Caenorhabditis elegans: one gene and its partner. The protein of the gene in region 2 purifies or fractionates together with the protein of the main gene of each other region. This does not show direct contact. Each region holds a gene or a part of one and is shown on either strand. Other genes may lie near its edges. The genes, in order: unc-16 and jnk-1.

Region 1 (10,652 bases), on a different chromosome or scaffold from region 2:
ACGACAACAGACAGGAATCGGAACAGATGATACTTCAGCTTCAACATTCGGAAGTGACCATCCATATGCTTCAATTCGACCATCTTCCTTTTTCACATGTTCACGTACCAATTTGTACTGCTCTCTTCTCTCGGCAGCACGTCTCTCCGAAATCCTGAAATACTTTTCTCGATTGATAAATCGATCGAACAATAAAATCAAAAATTCTTTATCATCCAACTATGAAAGATTCATTTGGATATTTACAACACATCACAACACAATATAAATGGATTGGGAAAAGGCATGCATTATGAGAATGAATGGGAAAGTTAAACCCGTGGAAACATTTTACAAGCAATTAAATAGAAAATAAGAACTAAAAACGAAGATAATAAATTCTAGAGAATTTCATAAGATTCTGGAGTTGCGTCAACTTAGGGAATTGTTTTCAGAATTAGTTGAAAGTCAGCAAAATTCTATTATGGGGGCGTAAAAAATGTATTTTGAAATCTACATGAAAACGCGTTCCACGGTCAATTTAAAACGCTCCGCCTCCGAACCATGGGTCTCATTGGGTTTTTGACGACAATTTCGCCAATTTTCAAGGATTTCCAACTTTTTGTAATATTATTTTTGTACATGTTTATGAATTTTATTTCACCAATTTTTAGATATTCAAAAATCATGAAAAACAACGAAAACATTATTTTTAAAAAGTCGGAAATGCTCGATAATTGGAAAATCTAGTTAAAAAAGTCACCTAATGAGACCCATTAATTATGGGCGGAGCGTTTCTAATGACCATGGAGCGCGTTTCCACACCGATTTCCAAAGGCTCTTTTTCTACGTACCCATAATAAATATTATTTTGTAACGCAACTTAAAAAGGTTAGTTTCAAAAAAAGATCAAACCAAGTCTCTGGGAAAATGCGGGTGCATAAAATGATCGGATTCCAAATGTTTGTTGATTTTATGTATAGTTAAAGCTGTTTATAAGTGCGTTCATTATGAATCTAGGTGTTGAGTGAGTGCAATTATAAGTTCTATTTAGAGAGAGATAGAGAGTTCAACAGATTGGTCTTCGAAGCATCACAGGATGAGAGGGTGTTACCGGGAGAGATGAATCCTAGAAAAAAGAAAAAACAACACCATTCATACTACGTGCCCAACAAAAAATAATCTCTACTCTTCAACAACTAACATGTCTGGGTCGATATACTCCACAGAGCGAGTCATCTTGCCGCGCGATGAGCTTGCACGATTTCCCCGCGACGATGCGGGTGGGGTCACTGAATCACCCAGGAGACTTGAGAAACTGTAAAAAGAGAAAAGGATCAAGAAGCACGAATCGGCGATAAATTAGCTAACAATTCCCAAATTCCGCCAGATTTCTTCTGATTCACATTCTGCTGCTGTTGTTGCATCTTCTTTGCTCGTTGCATTTCAGTCCACTTGATAGACTCTTCGAGTTCCATAAGCTTTTCTTTGTATGCATTTCGATCCATAAGAACACGCTGCATTTCTGAACGAGTGAATCGTTTTCGCATTGCCATTGGAACATCATCCTGAAAGCATTTTTTAAAAAATTCAGAAACAATCAAAAATCCCACTTTTAAAAAGAGATTTGTTCAAATGAATTGTGGATAAACTTTAAAAAATTAGATTTTTCAATCTTCCTCGATTTTTTGATTTTTAGTGGTATTTTGGAATCTAGGGCACTCTTTTTGGAATTTTTGAAGCAAAATATATTTTTTACTTCTAAATTTTAAAAAATCAAACCTCTTCTTGTTCATTTTCCTTCTCCATAAGCTTCTGCTTGAGCGTCTTAATCTCCTCCTCATGCTTCGTAATTTGCTCCTGCATCTTCTCACTGACCATTTGTCGGCTCAGATTCTCATCTCTCAGAATCATATTCTCACTGTTCAGCTCATCGACTTGATTTATAAGATCGTTCTTGACAATGTTCAACGCGTTTTTCATATCGAGAAGCTCGGAATTCTCCTTGATCAGGTTCTCGACTTCACGGCCCATTCCTTAAAGAATAAAAGTTGAAAAATCGTGTTGGAAAGTCATTCGATAACACAGGGTAAGCGCTTGCATGAAAATCTTCGAGTTTAAATATATACTAATTAATAAATTTAATAAATATTCTGAATTAATAGCGAGGAAGATTCTCATAAACTATCAATTGCATGCTGTTTTTTAATGTCTCTGTGATGAAACGGAATAAATTTCGGAAAAAATAGTGACGAAACCAATTGAGTGAAACATAAATATATGTGAGTTTAATTTTAATTTCAATTTTAAACTTTTTAATATAAAACAAGTGCTTCAAAACACAATCACGACATTGTTTTTGCTTTAACTTACCAATGAACGTGTCGTTAACTGTAAAAATAGAGAATGTTAAATCAAAAAAAGAGAGAGAGATGGAGATATATATAGAATCGATTATGCAAAACTCAAAAAAAAATGGCCAGCGCTCATGCACATGCTCCAAACTACGTGTGTTCCCTACCCAAACTTCCATCGTCCGAAGTGTCATCATCGTCGAGCATTTCATTTGGTCGATGTCTTCGTGGTATTAATCCAAGACCATTCCAATCCGATTCGTCATCTGACAAAACACAAAAGGCACATCAAGTAAATACAATACAACATCTAGTTTTTAGGTTGAAACCAAAATTTTGAGGGAATAGCGACTAAGTTGATAGACATTCAGAAATTTCAAAAATCACGCCACGCCCAAGGTCCGACATCTACCGGGTTCCGCCTCTCACGCTAGCAGTGAGCTCAGATAAGATGAGAGGCAAAACCATTTTATGGGTGTGACCTAATTTTTAAATATTGTGTGTACACACTTACTGTGTCTTTAGAGGGTACCGAGATTTTGAAAAAGCTTTCACGTGTTTTCTCTACAACATAATCTATATAAAAGGTGCACGGGGAAAGTGAAAAAATGCATGCATTGTAGACTTCAGTGTGGTGAAATACCGGACAAAAGCTGGCCGAAAGCAAGCAAGAACAAGGACCACAAGGACCAATACAACATTGAAAACTTAAAAATTTACCCGCTGAGGCGAACTCTGCTGGATCCACTAGATTTCCTGTCAAATTATGTGTGGATAATCGATAAATTGTCAAAAATGAAAAAAAGTCCCCGTGTTTGTGTGATTTGAAGAAGAAATTAGGTTAGTGTGAAAAAAAATGAAACGACACACTCTAATTAGTGATGGACAATAGATAAATTAGACGATTTCACTTGATTTTTAATTATTAAATACAAAAAAACCAACCTGTGAGATCAGCACCGAGCAAATCGTTATTTTCCTTGGGATCTCTGAAAAATTGGAATAGATTTCAAAACTCTTATATAAATTCCTAATAAAATTTTAAAATCATAATTAACTTACACAGAAGTTGTCTCGTCAGCTTCTTCCTCTTCTGATTGTTTCGGTGAAGCAGCTTCTCGTTTAGGAGTCGGCTCTTTGGTTGTAATTGGTGAAGTCAACGCATCAGCAGATGATTGTGGAATATCCCTGGGTGATGGTTCGATATCTGATGAGAATTCGTCTTGCCAGTCTGGAAAATTAGTATTTTAAGATTTAAAAGAATGAGGGTTGCAATTTCCATTGAGAAAAGGTGCGGAGCGGGTTTTTTTTCACTTTTCAACAGGAAACATCGTACGGAATACAATTAAAAATGGTTTTTTAATGGGAAATTTAAAATTTCTTTCCAACTGAACTGGTTTATTTAAGCCAAAAAGGTCTAAAAATTGAGCAATAAACCAATGCAGTTGGAAAATAAGTGAATTTACAGAAAAAAATCCGTTGGAAATTTCCTGTTAAAAAAAGTTTTAAAAAAACGCGCGGCGGTTGCGAAAACCCGTGCCGCACCTTTGCAGCATGGAAATCGGAAGAAAACTGGCATACCAATAAAGGTTAGTTGAGGATTCGAGTTCATGTTAGTTAAAAATTATCGGAAATAAATAAATAAACTAAATTTTGCGATATATAGAATTTTTTGTATTTTTACATATTTGTGAAGGGTCGCGTAAAAAACTCACCTTCGTTTGTGATGTGATTTGCAAGATTAACATCCATCGTGGTTGATTGTGTCATATGAGCAGAAATAAGATCAGATACTCCACGAATTGATGATGCATCCACAGAAGCAGCCATGCCCATTCTGTAATTTAAATAATATCTTTTAAAAATTAAAATTTTGATTTTAGGGGACCGAACCAAGTTATTAAAGGTGGAAGAAGTGTTTGCCTAACAAAATTCTTTTTGGAAAATGATAAAATTGGGAATTTTGCTTTAAATTGTATATCGTAATGAGCGAATTTATACAATTTTTTTAAACAATAAATATAATTGAAGCATTTTCAAAGATCTATATCGTTTGCGGGAATTTAACAACAAATATCGCATTTTTTGCAAAATTGGAGAAAACATAAAAATTTAGAAAATTTTTTTAAACAGTAATTATGATCTCTTTTCTGACATTTAGAGCAGTGATAAAAAATTTGGAAAATCAAGAAAATAAAATAAATTCAAAAAAATTGGTGATTTTTATTTCTTCATGCGCTTCAAAATTTGGAGTGAAGTGGAGGATAACCAAATCGAAAAAAAATCAAAAATTTGAAAAATAAAAAAACCTTCCCGAAAAATAACAAAAATTCCAGACACAAAACTCACAATGACAAATTACTTTGATCACCACTCTTATGTAAGCGATGTGATATTGGAAACCAACTACAAACAACGACACAACAGTCAAATATTAATCACTTTTTTAAATTTAATTAAATTAAACTTACTTGTTTCGAAGTTGCATATTTGGCAATGGCATATTCTGCATTAATTCGAATTTTTCACTTCCCATTAGATATTTTGTACGTTCCATGTGATCTACATGGGTTCGTAATAGAGTATTATATCGTTCGTGGAGACGATCGAATTCGAGCTTTTGTTCCACTTCACGTTCTTCCAGACGACTGGCTGAAAAATAATACTTTTTTTAAAAATTTATCCAAGAAAAACACAAGAGTTAATAATTGAGGTGACAATTAACTAACTGTAACAAACTAACCGTGATCAGTGGCATTTTTGGCTTTCAACTCGAGCATCCTCATTATTGATTCAAGTGACTCTATCTTTTTGTCCAACTCTTTATTCTGACCAATCAACGTGTCTTCTATTTCAATATATTTCTGTTCTGTCTGCTTTCGAAGTGCTTTTTCACGTTCATATTGTGTCTGAAGCTGTTCATTGTCCTCTTTGAGCATTTCAAGTTCTGCAGTCTGCTCGTCACGTTCCAAATAGGCAAGATCCAATGCTTCGAGCACATTTACAACCAATGGCATCAGAGTCTGAAAATGTTTAGTTTATTGAATGATAATAGAGAAAGAGAGAAGAAAATTAGCATAAATTTACCTGCTGACTGGTTTAACATACTGAATTTAGTATTGAAGTAGAGTAAAAACATAGAATTTCAATTTCTGATCAAAAAATGGTCTAAAAAGTCCGAATTTCGTAAAAATATCATTTAAAAGTTCTTCAATTAATTATGACGATTCTATGTTTTGAAAAATATTTAACTATGAGCTAAAATCTACAATTTTGCATATTTTTCCGTGCCACAGCGGTCGGAAATTTATTTTCATTCGATTTTCGCTTATTTTGTCGTTTATCTCGTGTTACTTCGTTGAGTTTGGTACATTTGAAGCGATAGGCAACTAAAAATAAGCAAGATCGAAATGATGCTCAATAAAAATTCATTTCCGGCCGTTGCGACACGGAAAAGTTGGCAAAATTGAAGATTTCAGAAGAAAGAAAGCGTTTTTTTTTTCAAAACCATCAGTCTTATTATGAAATCCGGTTGTTTTGGGACATTTTTTGCGAAAACAGCCATTTAAATAAATTTTAAAGTAAAATTCCGAAAAAACTCACTTTCACGCCATCTTCTCCGTGAACTTTTATCATTGTTTCCAACTCTCGATAAATTGCCGAAGCCATTGTCTGCACTTTATCCGACATTGTTCGATGCTCATCTGGTGAGCCGGGGCCGCCGTACACAATCTGAGATAACATTTCTCCCATCAATATCGAATGCAGCATAAAAAAATCCTCCTATTACCCGTCCCAACTGTTTTGTTGTGTCTAGCGACAATCAATAATGAAGAGAGAAGTGCGGAAGAGAAACATAACGGTATTTACTGGCCGAGGAATAGTAGTAGGGGGCGACGATAAGAGAACCGAGATAACTATCGGGAGACGCTGCTGCTGCCACTCGGTTGCAACAATGGTTCATTTGCCACCACTTACCTCAGACGGTGTGCTGCTCGTAATTGAGTCTGCCATCTCATTCACCGGTGACAAATTGCAAGCCATTTTTTCAGTCGTTCTGTCGATTATTGGTCCATGTGAGAGCAAGTTGACGAGACAATTCTACAAATTATGTTGCTTTTGTGCTTTGCAATGAAAAAAGCTATGTAAATAAAGTGCCACTCCTTCGCCGCGGCGACAGAAAATCAATAAAAGAAGGCTGGGCGCATGTGTGAATCTCGTGGATGAGAGAATACGGTAATTGGCGGAAGAGGAGCGTTTTGTGCGTCACGCACTACACGCATGTCGAGTGGGTTTTGCCGTTTTGCGCTTCAGAATTTATTTTTCTATTGAATTCAGAATAAAAACACTTCATTAGAAGTTTTGCATGAATAGAATTTCAATTTGCGCCGCTATTACGAATTTTTATATAAACTCTATCAAAATTATGTGTTTCTTAGGCTATTTTTGCGTCAAAACCACGAATTTAGTGTGACAACATGTGTTAAAACAATGAAAAAACAAATACGAAAGAATCAGTTTATTACGAAATAAATCAACGTTCATCATTATCTTCCTCAGGATATTCCGGGTGGCTCAGGAACGCTAGAAGCACTTGCACCAGAGAAATCATCAGAACAATTCCCACTCCGACCTGAATTGTTGGATTAAAGAGAAAATCATGTCGATTAATATAATTTACATCCAGAAGCACAATGCAGTTTTTAATTGCTGTATGCTCGTGGGGAGCTTTGGCACTGAATGTGTACACGATGAAGAAGATGAGCGAAAGCAACGATGTGACTGGTGCTGGAGCATGATAGATGGCCAACTGAAATTTTTGTAGAATGTAAAATAACTTTCTAAAACTAGGAATTACTTTTCTTTGGCTCATTGCCAACATGCATTTAGATCGACTCAAAAACAACAGAGCGATGAATGTGATGACTGCGAGTACGAGGAAAACGCTACCTGCTGAGAGCTGAAAACGTAGAGTTAGGAACGTCTTTAAGATGAGAATTTACCATCCAAAATGACGCGAGTCCAGATACGTACCCCATTGGAATAGTTCCCTGGAGTAGAACAGTCACACTAATCATCTGAAAACCAAGAAGATTCCCAAATAATCTGCTGAAAACTAGAAACTCACAATATTTGCCACAATGAGTTTGTTCAAAAGCATATTTCTACTTTACAAAGATTTGTAACCGTATAACCCTTTTGCTAGATTTGAATTTAACGAAATGAGTAGGAAATCAAGTTAAAAGTGTTGTCTATTTTATAAATTAAAAGAACGTAGAAAAGGTCTTCACGAAGAAATTTAAAATTTATTCAAAAAAAAAAAATCAGACTTCTTTCTTGGCTTTTTTCTTCGGTTTCGACGAGGATGTTTCAGTTGATCCTCCACATTCTTCTTTGATCGTTTGCATTCCTTCGATACCGTTCAGTTTTTTCATGTCTTCTTTGCCTGAAAATGTGCAAATTTTTATTCTTCAGCATTACTATATTATCCAGATAATTTTGCGATTTTCGTCATGCTAATACGATACCCGGTCTCGATACGGCAAAGTTTTTGATAGATCCAAAGAGGTGTGCGCCTTTAAAGAGTACTGTAATTTCAGATTTTCGTTGTTATGGAATTTGCATCGATTTTTCATAGTTTCAGATAAATAAATAAATATTTAAATATCGAAAAACTAATAAAAGTCTAAAAATTCGAAGTACAGTACACTTTAAAGGCACACACCTTTCAGAATTTAACAATTGTAGCGTCGAGACCGGGAACCGTACTTTCTGGGTAAAAATTGCACAATTTCGCAACAAAAACTAACCTGCAGGTTTACAAACCGCACTTTTTGAATGAAGAACTGTCAGAATCACGAACACGATTGTAGTGATGATTCCGATACCTCCGAAGACAGCCGAAACTATCATTAGCATGCTAGATGGCAAAATAAAGTGCTTTTCACTCATCTTTTTGATGAATGAGCGTTTTTAAAAACTCGAAATGAATAGTTTTGGGTTCCACGTTATTTTTTATTTTTGTAAAAGAAAAAAACCAATCATAATTATAAAAAACAAAACAAGAACAAATTAATTTAATTTGATTGAATTAAATACACGTTCAAATAAATTTCTACCCTCAGATATACATTTTAATGAGTTCTTCTCCAACAGCTTCAGGCTTCATTGCGCCGACATCAGTAATGATCAGTGTCAGAAATTCGGGTGCGGTGTAATCCACATCGGGATGCTCCAATTCTAGGTTGTTTCTCTCAATTACTGATGTTCGATACTGAAATAATGAAAGATCTGATTGAGTTATTTGATATAAATTGATTACTTTGAATTCTTGGGGAATATCGGCCTGGTTGAGTGGGAACTCCCGTACAAACTTGATAGTTTCAGCGCAAACATAGACGGGAACATGCCGTGATTTTGCGATGATACAAACATTAACAGTTCCAATTTTATTGATGATTCCACCGGTTTCCATGACTCCTTCAGCGCCAACTAGAACTGCTTGAATTCTTTCCATGACATATCTTAAAAAATAAAAAATGTATATACGTTTTTCTTATTGTTTTTTATAATTTCCACTCACCCCACACAGCTATCTAGAACTAAAGTAGTTGGAACTCCATTCTTTTTCAATTCTTCAAACACTAGTTTTCCTGAAGCATCCGGTTGCGATTCGGTGACCCAGACATGAAGGTGATATCCACTTTTGTGAGCATCAAGAATAGTTTCCAGAACCACTTTGCTGTATGAGTGTGTCAGAATATTCTAGAAAATACAAAGATTAAAATACATTAAATAGGAATTATTTAAATAGAAAAAAAAACGTACCATATGATGAGTGAAAAATAGACGAGCGCACTTGGAAATTTTGGCTCGAGAACCTCTGACATTCTTTATAAATGAGCGTGCTCGTTGGCGATACAGATCAAGAACTTGAGAAAAATCTTCTTGATCGAGAAGAGCAGCTGGAGCCAGAGAAGTGAATCTGGTGAACAAATCAGCGGCACTTCGAATTGATGTTGAGCTGTAGTCCGTTTTCTCGAGAGCAGCAACTACTTGATTTAGCTCATTTTGAAATTCGGCAACGGTGGTGGCTGTAATTAAGCAAAAAATTAATTGCCTAAATATTCAAATTCAGGAACTTACCGCGACTCCGGTCTAAAACCTCGAGCAGTGTTTCCACTGTGGCTAGACTCGTTGATTTGCTTGGATCGTTTTCAAGTTTTCCACGGAAAGATGAAATAATGCTTTCTTGAACCATGTTAGATGGAAAAAGTCTGCAAAAACAATAATGGAGAACGTTTGTCGTAGAAAGAAGAAATATTTATAGAAAAAATTTAATGAAAAAATAATGATGTAAACGCGCTCTATCGTTACGCAGAGAAGATAAGAGTTAGAGAGTTAGACAGTTTTGATAGTGGCAAATTTAAAAACAAAACATTTTTTTACTTATGTATTTAAAAGGTTTCGTGAAATTTAATTTATTTTCTCAATCTCGAATAAACATTTTAAACATATTTTTTGAGTCAGTCAGTTTACTTTCTACTCTCAACTATTTACGCATCTAAAATCTCCCATTGTGTGGCGAACTAAATAGGATAATAAATAATAATTTTCCTTTTCGAAACTTTTATACTATAATTAATTCCCTCAATTTGCTCCATAATCTCCATTAATTTTCCTCGTGTAATTGCTTCGTAGATCATTTGAATCGCCGCCGTGATACAGTACTATTCGCTAACCTGCACATCTTAAATACCATCGACAATTTTTTAAAAATTCATTTTCCATTTTGTTCATTGATTTCTTGGTTCTTTTTCCATTATTTTTGCCTCAATTTGTGCAAAAAGTGCTGGATATCGAATAATCCACAACGCTTTTCTGTTGTTCTTTCGGTTTTTGGGCCGTTTCTAGATTTTCCTCTCCGTAATACGAATTCTCGTGGGGAAACACGTTTTCCTTGTTCTTTGATTAATTTCTTTTGTACTAACTTTTCGACAAATATTTATTTATACTTTTTACAGAATCAAGCTTGTCCGTTTCGAAAATGGAAGAAGAACCGTACAAAAGAAAGCTAACGAAAGCCGAGAAAAAGGCAAAATATCGAACAGACTACGCCGAACCGTTGAAGTCACGCCGGGAAGTTCTGAAAGCAATTATGAATGGACCCGAGTCTGAGCGGGAGAGAAAAGTTCGAGCCAAAAATCGAGAATTTTTCAACGAGGACTATAGATCAGGTAAACATTTTAAAGTTCTTTTATTATTAAAAACTTTAAAAAACCCTCATTCATAATCTATACATTTAAAGGAGTCAACATC
Region 2 (13,671 bases):
ATTCTAAAAGGTACCTAAAGCTTTTAAAATTCACTTTTTGAATTGTATGATGATTATGGAGTCCATGAAAAAAAAATCAAATTATCAGGTTCGAATTTTCATGGATGTTTTTAATTGAAATTTCCCTTGTCTATCCCTCCCTACTCACCTCAACCGATACTCCTTGTGATTCAATTTTCAGTTTTTCCAAGTTCTCAACTGTATTAGTTCTTGCCATCATTGTGACATATCGACATCTTGAAATACCCTCTGTTTGTGATGTTGCAATTGATTCCACAGAATCTGTCGAATTGTATCCAAGAACCGTAAACGTGTGATTTTTCATACTATAACTGTGCTGATCAATGGCCATCGTAAAAGCTAGTGCATTCTCACCGAGACTGTAAAATGAATAAGAATATTAAATTAATGTCCATCAGTTGCTATAATGCTACTTTATAATTATTTTAATCCAAAAAACTTTTAATCCTTGATTTATTATGAAGATGCTATTTTTTAAAACTTCAAAAAGTGTAAAACTATTTTGAGAATCATAAAACTGAAATATCAAATACTTACGACTTCGAAGTTGGATAATAGTATACAGAATTTATAAAAGCATGAGAAACTGGAAGTTTTTCTCGTGATGTTCCTGATGGATCCGTTAAAATATTTGAAAATGGTTGACTACTCTTCCTTATCAAAATAAAAAGTAGAATAACTGAATTGAATATTAAAATGATTAATAGACATGGCTTATAGTTTATGAACCATCTCATTTTTATACCATAAAATTTCAATTTAGAATAAACTGAACGAATTTCAAAAAAAAATTGAGAGAGACAAGCCGTCAAGCAAATGTTCTAAACGCGGATGTTTATCTTGATATTCACCTTTTCCTGTTCTTTCCGAAAGTGCTGAATGGAAATTGAAGTTGGAAATACGAGATGTTTCCTGAATTTTGAATAAGTTTTGCACGAACTTCAGTGATACTCCTCGATTAGTATAAGATCTTCGTTGCGAGTCTCGATGCATATCAATTAAACTTAAAAGGTCATAAATTAATTTCTAGTTTAAGTTCCTTTTCTTGAAGCCATGCGTTCATACTTTTAAAAACTCAAATTACATTCTACGGTTGAAATTCGAAAAATTTAGCGATTTTGTTTTTATTCTTCAAATTTTGCTTCATATGTACTATACAAAAAACTTCTACTATGTATTAACTTTTCAAATAATCAACTTAGATGTTCTGCAACCTTTTCATTTCAATTCTTCTCCATCCAACTCCATTTCCATAGATCAAAATCTCCGAAATCTTTTTTCCAGAATATCCATGAAAGATAGGTATCTTTCTTGTCTTTCATTGTTTCGAAAGTCTTCCTTGTGCACTCTCACAAAAAGAAGAATATAATTGTTTCAAGATGCATTTTTTCGCAGACCATGAGTAACAACTAAAATATGAAATTTTGATTTACATTTTTTTTCAAAAATCACATGAAAAAGTGATTAGTGGTCACTCAAATACAGTACAGTCATTTGTGTAACATTGGTGAGGATTTAGACACATGTTAGAGAAAGTTGTAATAATAACTGAAATCTGTGGGATTATATGATCTATAGAAAGAGGAGACCGACAAAATATAGTAATCAAGGATCAACCAACACTTCCTCTCTATAAATACGATAATTCAAAACACAAAATGTCTAACTTTTGAAATCAAAAACTCATTGGTTTCTGTTTGAAAGTTGGACTCATCGGTCAAATAATGAACGCAAAATTCCAAGGAAGTTCAAATTTCCTGATCTACATTCTTGTCACTTCTCTTATTGCATTCAAAATCTGTGTTTTCTGTCAACAAACTATTAGTATTGGAGATACTGGTGTAACTTTGGCAACCATGAATAATACAATTCCGGCTAGCAATTTTAGTTGCGGTGCCAATCGGTTCACGGAATTTATTCCACAATTGTTTAACAGCACCGAGTGTAAAAATTTGAGAGGTATGATTTTTAATAATTATGTTTTTGTTTATTGAACTTATCTCAACTAACTACTAAACGTTTCTGACTTTTATGAAACAGTTTTTTATTGAAAAAAATTAAAACATTACTGAAAATTTTTGAAGATAGTTTCAAGATTTTTATCATCTTCGAAAATTAAATTTTCAGATCCAATGAACGTCTGCTGTGAAACCCACGACAACTGCTACAACACTCAAATTGGTAAAGATTTTTGCGATAATGAATTTTGTCTATGTCTAAGTACGGCCACAGAAAAGAATCTTTGCGCAGTGAGTTTTTTTTTTAATTAAAATTTGTTTTTTTTTCATATTGAAAAGTAATCCCATGTTTCAGGTGGATGCTGCCGGATTCTGTGCAGCTGTTCGACTTTTTGGAGAGACTGCGTATAACACCTTGGGAGGACTAGAACCAGTATCTCCCACTATAAATTAAATTTTAAAAAAATCAACATTTGTTAGTATCCATTGTCAAGATGATCACTTTTATTTTTGAAAACAATGTGATTTCAATTTTCAAAATCAATTTAAATGCCCGCATTGTAGGCGGTTGAAGTTGCCAAAGTCATAATGTACATAAATCTGTTTTTTTTTCAACTTTCAAACAATTTATTATCTTTTTTTTAAATAGAAATATGAGCACAGAAAAGGAGACATTTGAAAACAATTACGCGAATGAAAAAACATAGAGATCGAAATGTGACCGTAAAACATGGAATCAGGAATAAATGTCATGGGTTCTTGCGTAATCTGTGAGCTCTCGGAAAATGTGCTCTCTCCATGAATCCACGTTCTGTTCCACATCCATATTATGATCATACGGAAGTGGAGGTGGAGCATATACCTGAAAACATATGAATATGAGTTAATAATATTATAATTCTTTTCGAATTCGATATTACATACGGCTGTGGCTGGCGTATCTTCATTCGCAATTTATGGTTCTTGAGAATGTGAATTATATGCTGTTCTTTTTTAATACTGCGTTATTAATAATTTCATTTATTCTCAAAAGATGTCGGGTAAACAATTGTAAAGAAAATACGATATGCTTACATCTTAGCTTTGAAACAGTAAATTTTTTCTTACCAAATATGCTTCGTGTTATTTTCAAGCTTCAAACAGAAAATAACAAAAAAACATATTTAACAAGAAAAAAAAAATTACTGTTTCAAAGCTAAGATGTATATTGTATTTTTCGTTGCAATTGTTTGTCCCATCACTAATTTAGCGAAAACATTGAATAATTAGTAGATATTATTATTATGCTCAAATTCAATATTGGACGTTCGACCCGGTTGAAATTGACGTGTGACCCTTAGTAGACTCCTCACTCGACCTTTTTAATAATATAAATTCTGTACAGATATCGGAAAAAGATACAAATTTTAAGCTGTTTTTAATAAGGTTACCGCAATATAACCTTTATTTGTTTTCAACAAAATAAAAATAAACGAAAGTGAAAAATTATCACTGTTTCAAAATCTCAATTAACATATGTTTTATTTTGAAATTGATTCAGCAACATTATTCAAATTTTATTAGGGCTGGCCATCCGGAGTCCGGATTTTAGAGTTTTTCTTCCACGCAAAAAATAGGATTTCGGTTTTTGAAAAGTCATTCATATTTAACTGTATATTTTGTGTTGTGTAATAGGAAAAAATCTTACTTCAATTTCATCAAACCAAACATTGACATATGGATGTCTCAGTGCATCATCCACAGAAATCCTTCTTTCCGGATCTATGACTAACATTCGAGAAAGTAAGTCACGAGCTTGAGCACCTAGAAAATGTTTAATTTTTGAAATTATTCTGTTAAAGCATACCTGTAAGTCTTGAGCTGTCAGCTGTCATTGGGAACATGTTATCACTGAAGAGAACTTCAAACGGCGTTGCTTGATATCTGAATTATTTTATTTTAATCGAGTTCATTGTATTAGTAAAATATTTTAATTCATACCTTGGCCGATTTTCCACATAATTTCTGACAGTTGGTTGTAACCGTTCTAAAAATGACCTATCCGGAGTACCCAATTGTTCTGAATTCGGAAATGTTGGCAGTTCGTTTTAATCATTTTCAAAATTACCAATAATCCTAGTCCACTGATCGATATGGTCACCACCCGGGAATAGTACACGTCCACGTATCAGCTCTCCAAATATACACCCAATTGACCAAACATCAACTGAAAAATATTTTGTTTGAAAAATATAACTTTGTTAAATTGCTTAAAGAATTTGAAAATGAATAACGATTATTCTTCTATTTTTAAAACTAGAAAAAACTGAAAAAATGTGTGCTCCGATTTAATATTGGTGTTCATCACTTTAACTCAAAAATCTTACCATTTTCCTTGTAACCCATTCCTAAAATAACTTCCGGTGCCCGATAGTATCTTGTCACAACGTAAGGAGTCATCATGAATGCCTCAATCGCAGTTCGAGCCAATCCGAAATCCAAGATTTTTAGAGTACAATCACTTCGAACGACAATGTTTGATGGTTTCAAATCCTGTAACAATTTGTAGAATAAATATTTGGAAAAAAAAATCTCAGAGGGACAACCCGGTTCAGAATAATCGGTAGCATAAATTTTTTATATGCCTATCTGCCTGAGAGCTTGCCTACTAAAATGCTCCTCTGAATTTTTTTAGTAAAAATAATAATGGGCACAAAAACTTTTGCTCCACAAAAAAGAAGCCATGTTCCGATTTTTCGCAACTTGTGCCTTGGAAGTAGGCACAAGGCGATTATAAGTCGCCTAGATATTCTTTTTTCTGTCAGTCTCACCCTGTGTATAATTCCAGCACTATGTAAATGCCTGATACCACATAACATTTGATAAAGAAGATATGATAATCTCTCATGATCCAAATCCATTTGAATCACTTGACAAAGATTTGCATCCATAAGTTCCATAACAATATAAAGATCGTTGAATTCGTCGAGTTTCTTTTGTGGTGTAAAACAATTCAGAATACCTATGATCTGAAAAATGAGGAATTGAAGTCCAACGTAAAATCTTGAAAAAACTCACATTTTTATGATTTACAAGACTCATGAGTTTTAATTCTCGATAAGCCCTCTTTGCATGTGTCACATTTTGAAATGGCCTTGATAATTTCTTTATGGCAACTTGTTCGTTCCGTACCGTATCAAACGCTGAGCTGAAAAATAATAAATTTGATTTCCAGCATAGTTGAGATTTTTTAACCAAACAATATAGAATCGAGAAAATTTTTGTCTCTTCAAAATCGCTTTCCCATTATACCAACAACAAAATTACTCACCAAACAATTCCCTGAGCACCAGACCCGATCAACCTGAGATTTTGATATCGTTTGAGAACAACCATCTGCGCTTCCCCTATTGTCACCTGAAACATATCGAGATCTTCAACCAAACTGTTAAAATTGTACTCACCGAATAATAGTTTTCGGGAACATGAATAGAGGATGGTTCCATGAGAATTCCTCCTCCTGTTCCACTGTTTATGTGATGACGAACAGGACTGTACACTGATTGGCAACTATCCAAAGAGACAGCGTCGTCGTCTCGACCAGATGATGATGGAACCAGCCACTGAAAATAGGGAATAAAGATATAGTTAGATATTGATGATTTTGTTTTAAAAACTGTTATTTCTGACTATTGAGTGACCATCAACATTTGATAAAACAGTTGCGAAGTTTTCTGAAACCGTAAGCAACTTCGCCTCAGTTCGTGTTTTGTGAACAAAATTTCTCTGTTTCAAGGACTTTTCTTGAATTTTGTCAATTCTGCCAGTAATGTTCATATATTTTCAAAAAATTTCATAAAAATTTAACGAAACTAATGATAATTTGAACTATGAGCTGATAAATTTGCAAACTCAAGTGTCTCTAAAATAGAAAATACGGCTTATAAAACATCAGTGGTAGTGCCCATTTTTAAAAGACAAAATTTCAATTTCATGCTTTTGAGTTTTAGTCAACTCAAACTTAAACTCACATTCCCAACGGACTCGATAAAATTGTTGAGGTGTCCACGGGTTCCTCGAATGATTGATGATATCGAGGAGGATGCGAGCAGAGTGTTGTGATCCTCTTCCACGCTTCTACCTGAAAATCGGATAAATTTAAATGCCATTACAGTGAAAACAGTGAAATGTAGAAACTTCTCGAAGGATACAAAAACGATTTCCTCAAAAATACTCGAACACAAACAATTATTTTGGTATTAAATTTAGACTTTCACTATCAAAATTATGATTTGAAAGAAAGCAATTTGTTGAAAAAAATATTTGGAAAATAAAATATTTGAAACAGAGAAAAATGTGATATTAGATGCATTACTAAAAATCTAATTAACTCAGCCGCATATTAACGGGATCTATGTATTTACCCAAAAACCAATCCAGAAATCTTTTTTTTTTCAAAAAACCCAGACTCTTTGCTAGCTTCAAAAGAAATGTATAAATAAATGGAGACTATTTATCCATTTTTTGGTGTCTTTTTCACATTCAGCACACACAATGCACTTTTCGACTCTTTTTTTTTGCTGTCCGTTTGGATGTCTTTTTCTGTCCAATTTGGAGCAGAGACAAAATTTAGAGAAAATACACAAGATGGAAGGAAGACGCAGAGTTAGAAAGAACACAATTTCACTGATGAGGTTATATTGGGGCTAAGGGAAAAGAGGGCTCTGAAGGGAACATAAGATGGTCGGGGTGGAAAAGCGGAAAGGATTATTTAGGTCAGAAAAGGAAGAAACACGGAAATTAAAGATGAAGAGGGTACTACTCGTTAGAGTGTTACATTCATTTGTCGGAAAACTTTTTAGAACAGAAATAAGGGGAATATTCAAGAATCAAACCTATTTTCAAAATTTAACTGTTTCATAAAATTATCAAAAGTCTACTGATAATGACCTCGATATTGTTGTATTGCACTAAAGGGTATTTTTTTTGGTGACAACTTAAAATTTTCAACTAGTTTCAAAAGGACAAATATTCTAAATTAGTCCTTTCTAGCAAAGTTATGATCAAAACAGTTTAGCTAAATTTTCAAAAAAAAAACCTCTAACTTCTTGATTCACAGAAGCTCTCCTCACTTCAAAACCAAAAAATTGTCATAATTTTCAACTTCTAGTGATTTATAATAACAACTTTAACAAGAAAAAAACTATAAGTTGGGGTGGATGTACTAGTCGATGGGGTTGGTTGCGAGGGTCTCAGTGGTGGTTGTGTGTCTCCGGAGCTCTCCGGAGCAGTGGCGGCGGTCCTTCTCTACGTCTCCGTCGTCTTTCCGTCGTCATTCTGTGCAAAACGGGGCCGCGCCTTTCCTATATCGATTTTTGTGTTTAGAAGACTTTGAGAATGGGGTAGAAGGGGGCACAAGAAGGACGTCTTTTCGATTTGTGAATGAAAGTGAGGAAAGAAAAAGAAGCAAAAACATAGAAAGAGAGAGAAAGAGGAAGATGTTGAGCATGTTTGTGGAAGAGAAGCTACCAACGTAGAATATGGTACCCATGGGACCATAAATTATAATAGAAACGGAAAAGACAAAAAGAAGAGGAAGAAGAAGTTAAGAGGCGTAAAGCATATGGAACAGAACTGAAAAGACACGACTTTGTGACGTCATTGTCGAGGGTTTGAGACTTTTGTTGTGACGAGTTCAAAATTTTATTTTAAATAAAAATATCTAGATTTCGAGAAGTAACTGTCGCGTTTGAGAATGAAATACAATTTTTAACACTTTGGTACGAGTCGCTCTGCTGCAAGTTCAAAAAAGTGTATTTCGATTAAACGAGCGAAAATGCTCAATTTGTTTATTTGCTCACTAAAACAATTGTTCTATCTAAATATACTCAGAATGAGCCAAAAGACCATCAGTACAAAATTCAAAAATTTTTTAAATTCAAAATTTTTTAAAATTTTTTTCAGATATTTAAAAATTTGTTGCATATCTGTAATTCCACAATTAAAAATAAATTGAATTAATTATATTGTGCATTTAAATGGATATCCCATATTAATAACTTTTGCGATTTTTTAAATGGAAATTTTGTGACCCGCTAATTTAGAAAGTGTATATTATTAACTTGGTCAAGAAACTATACTTTCTTGTTGCTTTTCTAGAACTAGCTGCTAATTTAGTGCTACCTCAACTTTTTAATACAATTTTGAAATGTTATATTGAAATTTTTATTGGTTCATATTTAAATTAAAGAGAAGGTAATACATGTAAAATGTAGTTCATATTACTTACAGTGGCATGTAAAAAACACTGAAAAAATCCTTTAAAAATGTGAAAAAAGAGCTAGTAATTTTTAATTTGAATTCCCACATTTCCAGCCACTTTACTCAATTTTATTAGTCCCACAATTATTGATGTTAACGGGTTTTACAGGCTTTTCTTTTGGTTTAGTCATAAATTTCAGAATTTCCCTGTTGAGTTAAATTTGATTAAATCTTAATTTAAAAAAACTGATTCCTAATTAAAAAAAGACACAGTTTTCCCAAATTTCAATTTTGCAAAAAAAACAATTAACTTTCGTAGATAAAAAAGAAGCTAGAATAATATTTTGCAAAAATTTAAAAACAAACCTGGATGTGACGGATACGATGATGTTGTGGATAATCGTTCCTCCATGTGCACAGGATCACACACTTTAACTTGCTGATGGTTCTGAAAATATTATTATACGTATTCATTGGTGGAAATTGCAAAAAGCTGATAGTGGCTAATTTAAGAACGGTTCAAATTAGCGAGAATCTCATTAATTAATTTTAACCAGCTTCTAGAAAAACAAAACTGAACAGGGAAAAAAAATTGCGGACACCAAAATAAAGAATAGAAAAAATGAAAATGTTGAGGAAATGGAAACTATTTTCCAGTTAGAATACATTGCAATTGAGGGCAGAAAAATTGAAATTTGAGAATTCGTGTTGAAATCTCGAATTCCATTTTCCCGTAAAATGGTCACTTGTTGTTTTCCAGAAAATGAAAAAAAGTACATATTTCAATATTAATTTTAAAAACACCACTAAAAACTTACTTCTGCAGTAATTTTTTTTAAAAAATTTCAGGGCGGTTTAAGTTTAAAGGTTTTTTTCTGTACTTTGTATTATGTTTAGTTATTATTAAAATCACTTTTCCTTCTGTATGTACTGAACTCTCCATTTTTTTCAAAAGACTAAATGGAAATCACTAACTAAATAAATATGTGAAACATTTTAAAGACTACGTGAAACATTTTAAAGCCACTTGCCACTTTTCCGAAGTCTTCTAAGACTTCTAAACCTTTTCTAGTATTTGCTCCCTAATATATTCTCAAAAGTGTAAAGAGCGGGAGTTGTCGTCAAAGTTCTCAAAAGGATTCCCGATGCAGTAGAGTAGCCAATTGGGGCTCTCATGTCAGTCACATGGGCGGCAGATTTGGTGATGAGAAGAAGAAGAAGAACTTGAGAATAATGAGACGCAGGCTTTGAAAGTTCGTCCTTTCTGTGGATGGAGGACAAGGATTCAAGCAAAGAATTGGAATTTAATTTAGAAAATGTGATGATGGAGAAGGGAAAGAAAGAATTGGAGGGACAAGGTTGAAGGCAACCGGGACATGTTTGAAACTAAGGAGCGCTTCAAAAAAATGGAAAAATCATTCGATTTTTTTCAAAACAAAAAATTGAAAGTTTACTGAAGCTTTTTTTTGGAAAAGCTATGAAAACAGCGGATTTTCAATTTATTTTTATTTTTTCACACGATTCTTTGTTTTCTTTCTACAAGAAGTTGAACTCTAATTTGAACCTTACCAAAAGACATCTTTTTCTGTTTTTATATTGTGATATTTCTGAATTTTGGGTATTTCGAAGCAAAATCAAAACGGTGAATAATTTTGAATGATAATGTATTTTCACTAACTTGAATGAACCAAAATGAAAAAAAATGATCACGCAAAAATAGGTATCTCGATTTTTTTTGTATGAGATCCGTCTCTTAGGCAACCGTGCTTTTCTTTACAAATTCAATTATTCATACTTGTTTATTTAGGTAGTATAGAACGACAATTTGAATCACATTATGCATATGTATAACTGGTTTAAAATAAAGAAGAGAGGTTTTTAAATGCACTTTTTCAAAAATAAATTTGAGGTTTGATGAAAAGTTTTCAACTTATTCGCTTGGCTTAAAATTATCAGATTAAAAAAAAAATTTCAAAGTTTTGGAAGATTGACCAATTTTTCAAATAAGGCTTCACAAATGTTAAAATACAAACGTAATGAATGTTTTAATTTTTTTAAAACTTTTTTTTCGGTTGCCGAAATTATGATAGGAAAACTTAACAAATGCCAATTTTTGTTTATAGATAAATTCATATAGCTATTTTTCTGAATAGTTTCACTCTGATAAATTGGTATTTCAGAACTATAAAGATAGCTTGATTTATTTTCTGGACTGGTGAGATAACTTTAAGTATGGACGTTCAAGTTATTATATAGTCAATTATATTTGTAAGAAAATGAAAAATTAAATATAACAACCGATGATAACGCCAGAAAAACAATCATAGTGAATGTCGCTACTTGAAAATTAAAACAGTACAACATCCATTTGAAAATGGACACTGAAAAATAACGATATCTACTATTTTTTCCTGTTTCATTGAATTTTCTTCTACTGTTTTGTTATCTGAAGAATTTTCCAGTTCTAAGTTAGTGGTGCATAAGAGAATGAATGATTATTTGATTTTTAAAGTAAAATTATTATTCAAACCTAGCCGCCAAATGACTATGTTTCTTTTTGAAAAACATTTTAAAAGTGTAATTACTATAATTGCACTAAAATTCAATATTTAACTTTATCCGGGAAATACTTTTACACGATTAAACGGATAGGGAATATTCTTAAATTCTATTATAATGCTAAATCAAATAAGTTTTCCATAATGATGGATACCTGATAGAATATTCAATAAATAATTCTTTGATCCGAAAGTGTATCCAAATGGATAAAAGTCTAAAAGAAGAGCATTCAAAGGGAGAAATCGGAAATGAGAAAACTAGTGTGAAAAGTGTGTGTGGAAAATATTCCGATTATACTAATGCATATGCATGAAAATTTAGTTAGTTAGTGGGATCATGAGAAGATTATCATCGGAAGAAGACTATCAAGGGTACAGGATTAGCAATCCAATGGCAAAAAAAAAGAAGAAACGGCTTCAAAGCTCAGAGATTTCAGTGCTCAGGGAGCCGGAAAACTCACGGAAAGCACCTATTGACATGCTATGTACTTGAAAAATGGCTAGAAGGTTGAAATTGAATAGAGCGGGAAAAAAGAAGAAGAAGAAGGATATTTGAATTTCGCGCCTTTTCAAGAAGTTTAGACATTCAAAAAATGAGAAAAGCAGAAAGTTTTCGTCGTTTCCTCTTTTTGGGTGGCACTTCTTCTCCTTCTTCCTCTCATCCCATTCGTCATCACTACTGGATTATATATTCAAAGAGAATGTGAAAAGATTATGAAAAATAGAGAGACGGAGAGATAAAAATAAAGTTTTTCGGAAAAAAAAGGAGTGAGCACAGGAGGACGCATTTTTGAACAGCTTCACTTTTTCAGACTTTTTTGTTGAAAGTAAAGAGAAACAGGAGATGGAAGTTTTTCCGTAGAAAGAGTCTGTGGGAATTATGACGTTGGTTGGTTTTGTGGTTTACTTGAATCATCTATTATTCAGGGATCTAGAGAAATATTCAGAAATGTTTAAAATTCTGTGAGAAAATTTGAAAATTACTGCAAAACGGTGGTTTATCACTATATTATAGTGTTGTATTGTCTTATTCTGCTCTAATCAGGTCATACATGGTAAGACACATATAATAAAGTATTGGAGAAATTTCAATCAAATTTTATTGAAAAACTTTAAAGCCCTTAGATAGAAGCGAAGCCAATTATCGATGATCGCAGTTCATTCAAATTATTTCAAATTCCTAAAAACTATCTTTACTTTGGAAAATTATCGACATCATTTCTAGATTCAAGATTTCTCATTTTTCAAGATAATTAAATTGTATTTTGGATTATATTGTTACTATTATGACTTAATTTTTAAGATTTTCGACAATCGGCATTTTGGGAATTATTGAGTTCAATTTAAAAAAAAAACTCAAAAAATGAGCAAAAAAACGAATTTCTACTGTAGCAAATGTTTGATGAAATCAATGAATTCGGTGAAAAAATTCAATTTATTCCCCACCTCAAAAAAAATCAAAAAAAATCTGAAGAGTTTTATCTTTCTTTCCATGTTTTGGAAATGTTTCGATAATTCGGAAATCGGCCCTTTTGGCAACAGCCGAATCTTAAAATGTTCGGTAATTGAAAATTTTCGAATTATCGAATTATTTTCATTATTAAAATGTGTAAAACAAGTTAATGAAAAAATTCTACTAATAATACTAATAGAACTAATAGATAATAATAGATTCTACTAATAAAAATACAAAATTGAAACAGTAAAATTTTATAATAATTAACTAAACGCGTATTCCATCCAAGTTCATTTCAAAACACCTAATAAAAATAATTTTTAAACAGTTGGATTATGCGAAATATGTAAAAAAGGTTTTCTCAACAAGATAGGAAATGGAAGAGTGTGGGAAGAATGGACAGGAAGCCTTGGAGTAACGGGAAGGGGAAAGAGAATCGAATGTGCATAATGGGTTCTCGTCTTTCTTCTTGTTTGCTCAACATTGAGTGCTCCCGGATGGCATCGTGTCAGTTTTTAAATTTTCAGAAACACAGTTTTTTAATCAGTGATTTGATAAAAAATGGGTACTAAATAAAAACTAAATAAAGACCGAAAACACACACAGATTTGTGCAAAAGTGAAAAAACTAGGATCTGGTTGTCATCCAAACTTCTTTTTCGTTGCTAAGTCATGAATGTTTTATGAATTCTGTGCCAAGGAACATTTTTAGATAAATACTTCCTTTCTCCTCCCCTTTTGCCCACAAATTCTCAACAAAATTCCTGTAATCTGTGTCTGAAAATAACGAAAAAAAAAGTAGTATAATAGGAAAAAAAATAGTTTGAGTGAACAAAGTAAGCGGAAACTGAGAAAACGAAAGAAAAACGACGAGGTTATTTTTTATCTTTTGCTTTTTCAGAACCCCCACATTATTTTACTTTTTCGGGAGCAGTGAAAGTTTGATAAAAAAGAAATATGGTTTACATGGTAGGCAGACATCTACCCACATTGCTGCCTACGACCTATTTCTCAACATTTCCCGATGAGATTTAGCGAATCACAAAATTGATTTAGCGAATTACAAAAAAAACTGCGACAGTAGGCACGAGTGTCAGGCAGAGTGAAAATTCAGTGACTATTTATAAAAATACTGTTTCAAAAAGGTTACTTGATAAACGCATGAATCTCTCTTTAATTGATCGTTGCGAGTTGGCTCAAATTTACGATATTGAAGACAACCCTCACAGGTTATTAAAAATAGCAGCCTACATAAAAATTATCAAGTAAAACGTATATGTCTATCTGGCTGCCTAACTTCACGCCTACTCTGACAGTTTGCGGAAGTGCCAGGCAAGCGGTCATTTGAGTGCCTACCTCACAAAATCTCTCAAAAAGATAAAAATTTATAAATCTAGACTTAGGAAAAAAAAGGAAAAAAAATTGTTAAAAAGATTTTT

The links.
Region 1: the proteins of jnk-1 (region 2) and unc-16 purify together in Caenorhabditis elegans (affinity purification with western blotting, with the first as the bait; one study listed by BioGRID). This does not show direct contact.

What each region holds. Positions count from the first base shown.
Region 1 is NC_003281.10:9,542,084-9,552,735, reverse strand, and holds the start of unc-16 (JNK-interacting protein), read right to left. Parts: upstream 6,442-10,652; 5' UTR 6,378-6,441; coding exon 6,312-6,377; intron 6,066-6,311; coding exon 5,937-6,065; intron 5,357-5,936; coding exon 5,077-5,356; intron 4,986-5,076; coding exon 4,805-4,985; intron 4,740-4,804; coding exon of another isoform or gene 4,683-4,739; intron 4,171-4,682; coding exon 4,049-4,170; intron 3,946-4,048; coding exon of another isoform or gene 3,915-3,945; intron 3,565-3,914; coding exon 3,396-3,564; intron 3,323-3,395; coding exon 3,279-3,322; intron 3,090-3,278; coding exon of another isoform or gene 3,054-3,089; intron 2,600-3,053; coding exon 2,501-2,599; intron 2,371-2,500; coding exon of another isoform or gene 2,353-2,370; intron 2,016-2,352; coding exon 1,762-2,015; intron 1,548-1,761; coding exon 1,351-1,547; intron 1,298-1,350; coding exon 1,184-1,297; intron 1,109-1,183; coding exon of another isoform or gene 1,090-1,108; exon of another isoform or gene 196-1,089; intron 155-195; coding exon 1-154. Other genes in the region: ZK1098.12 (DUF2975 domain-containing protein), read right to left, coding at 6,868-6,966, 7,015-7,143, 7,192-7,293, 7,337-7,411, 7,462-7,494; ZK1098.9 (uncharacterized protein), read right to left, coding at 7,658-7,779, 8,144-8,285; eif-2Balpha (Translation initiation factor eIF2B subunit alpha), read right to left, coding at 8,455-8,607, 8,656-8,857, 8,917-9,098, 9,162-9,427, 9,480-9,594; Exonuclease mut-7, read left to right, coding at 10,381-10,570, 10,642-10,652. UniProt on the Caenorhabditis elegans protein: The JNK-interacting protein (JIP) group of scaffold proteins selectively mediates JNK signaling by aggregating specific components of the MAPK cascade to form a functional JNK signaling module.
Region 2 is NC_003282.8:6,952,637-6,966,307, reverse strand, and holds jnk-1 (Stress-activated protein kinase jnk-1), read right to left. Parts: upstream 8,668-13,671; 5' UTR 8,632-8,667; coding exon 8,586-8,631; intron 7,326-8,585; exon of another isoform or gene 7,188-7,325; intron 6,941-7,187; exon of another isoform or gene 6,917-6,940; intron 6,100-6,916; coding exon 5,990-6,099; intron 5,582-5,989; coding exon 5,423-5,581; intron 5,376-5,422; coding exon 5,290-5,375; intron 5,167-5,289; coding exon 5,037-5,166; intron 4,988-5,036; coding exon 4,790-4,987; intron 4,512-4,789; coding exon 4,346-4,511; intron 4,186-4,345; coding exon 4,087-4,185; intron 4,039-4,086; coding exon 3,960-4,038; intron 3,903-3,959; coding exon 3,826-3,902; intron 3,783-3,825; coding exon 3,667-3,782; exon of another isoform or gene 2,842-3,666; coding exon 2,716-2,841; 3' UTR 2,589-2,715; downstream 1-2,588. Other genes in the region: gtnt-54 (Glycosyltransferase family 92 protein ZK381.2), read right to left, coding at 1-14, 149-380, 559-758; B0478.3 (uncharacterized protein), read left to right, coding at 1,746-1,980, 2,149-2,270, 2,335-2,433. UniProt on the Caenorhabditis elegans protein: Serine/threonine-protein kinase which responds to activation by environmental stress by phosphorylating a number of transcription factors such as daf-16, and thus regulates transcriptional activity.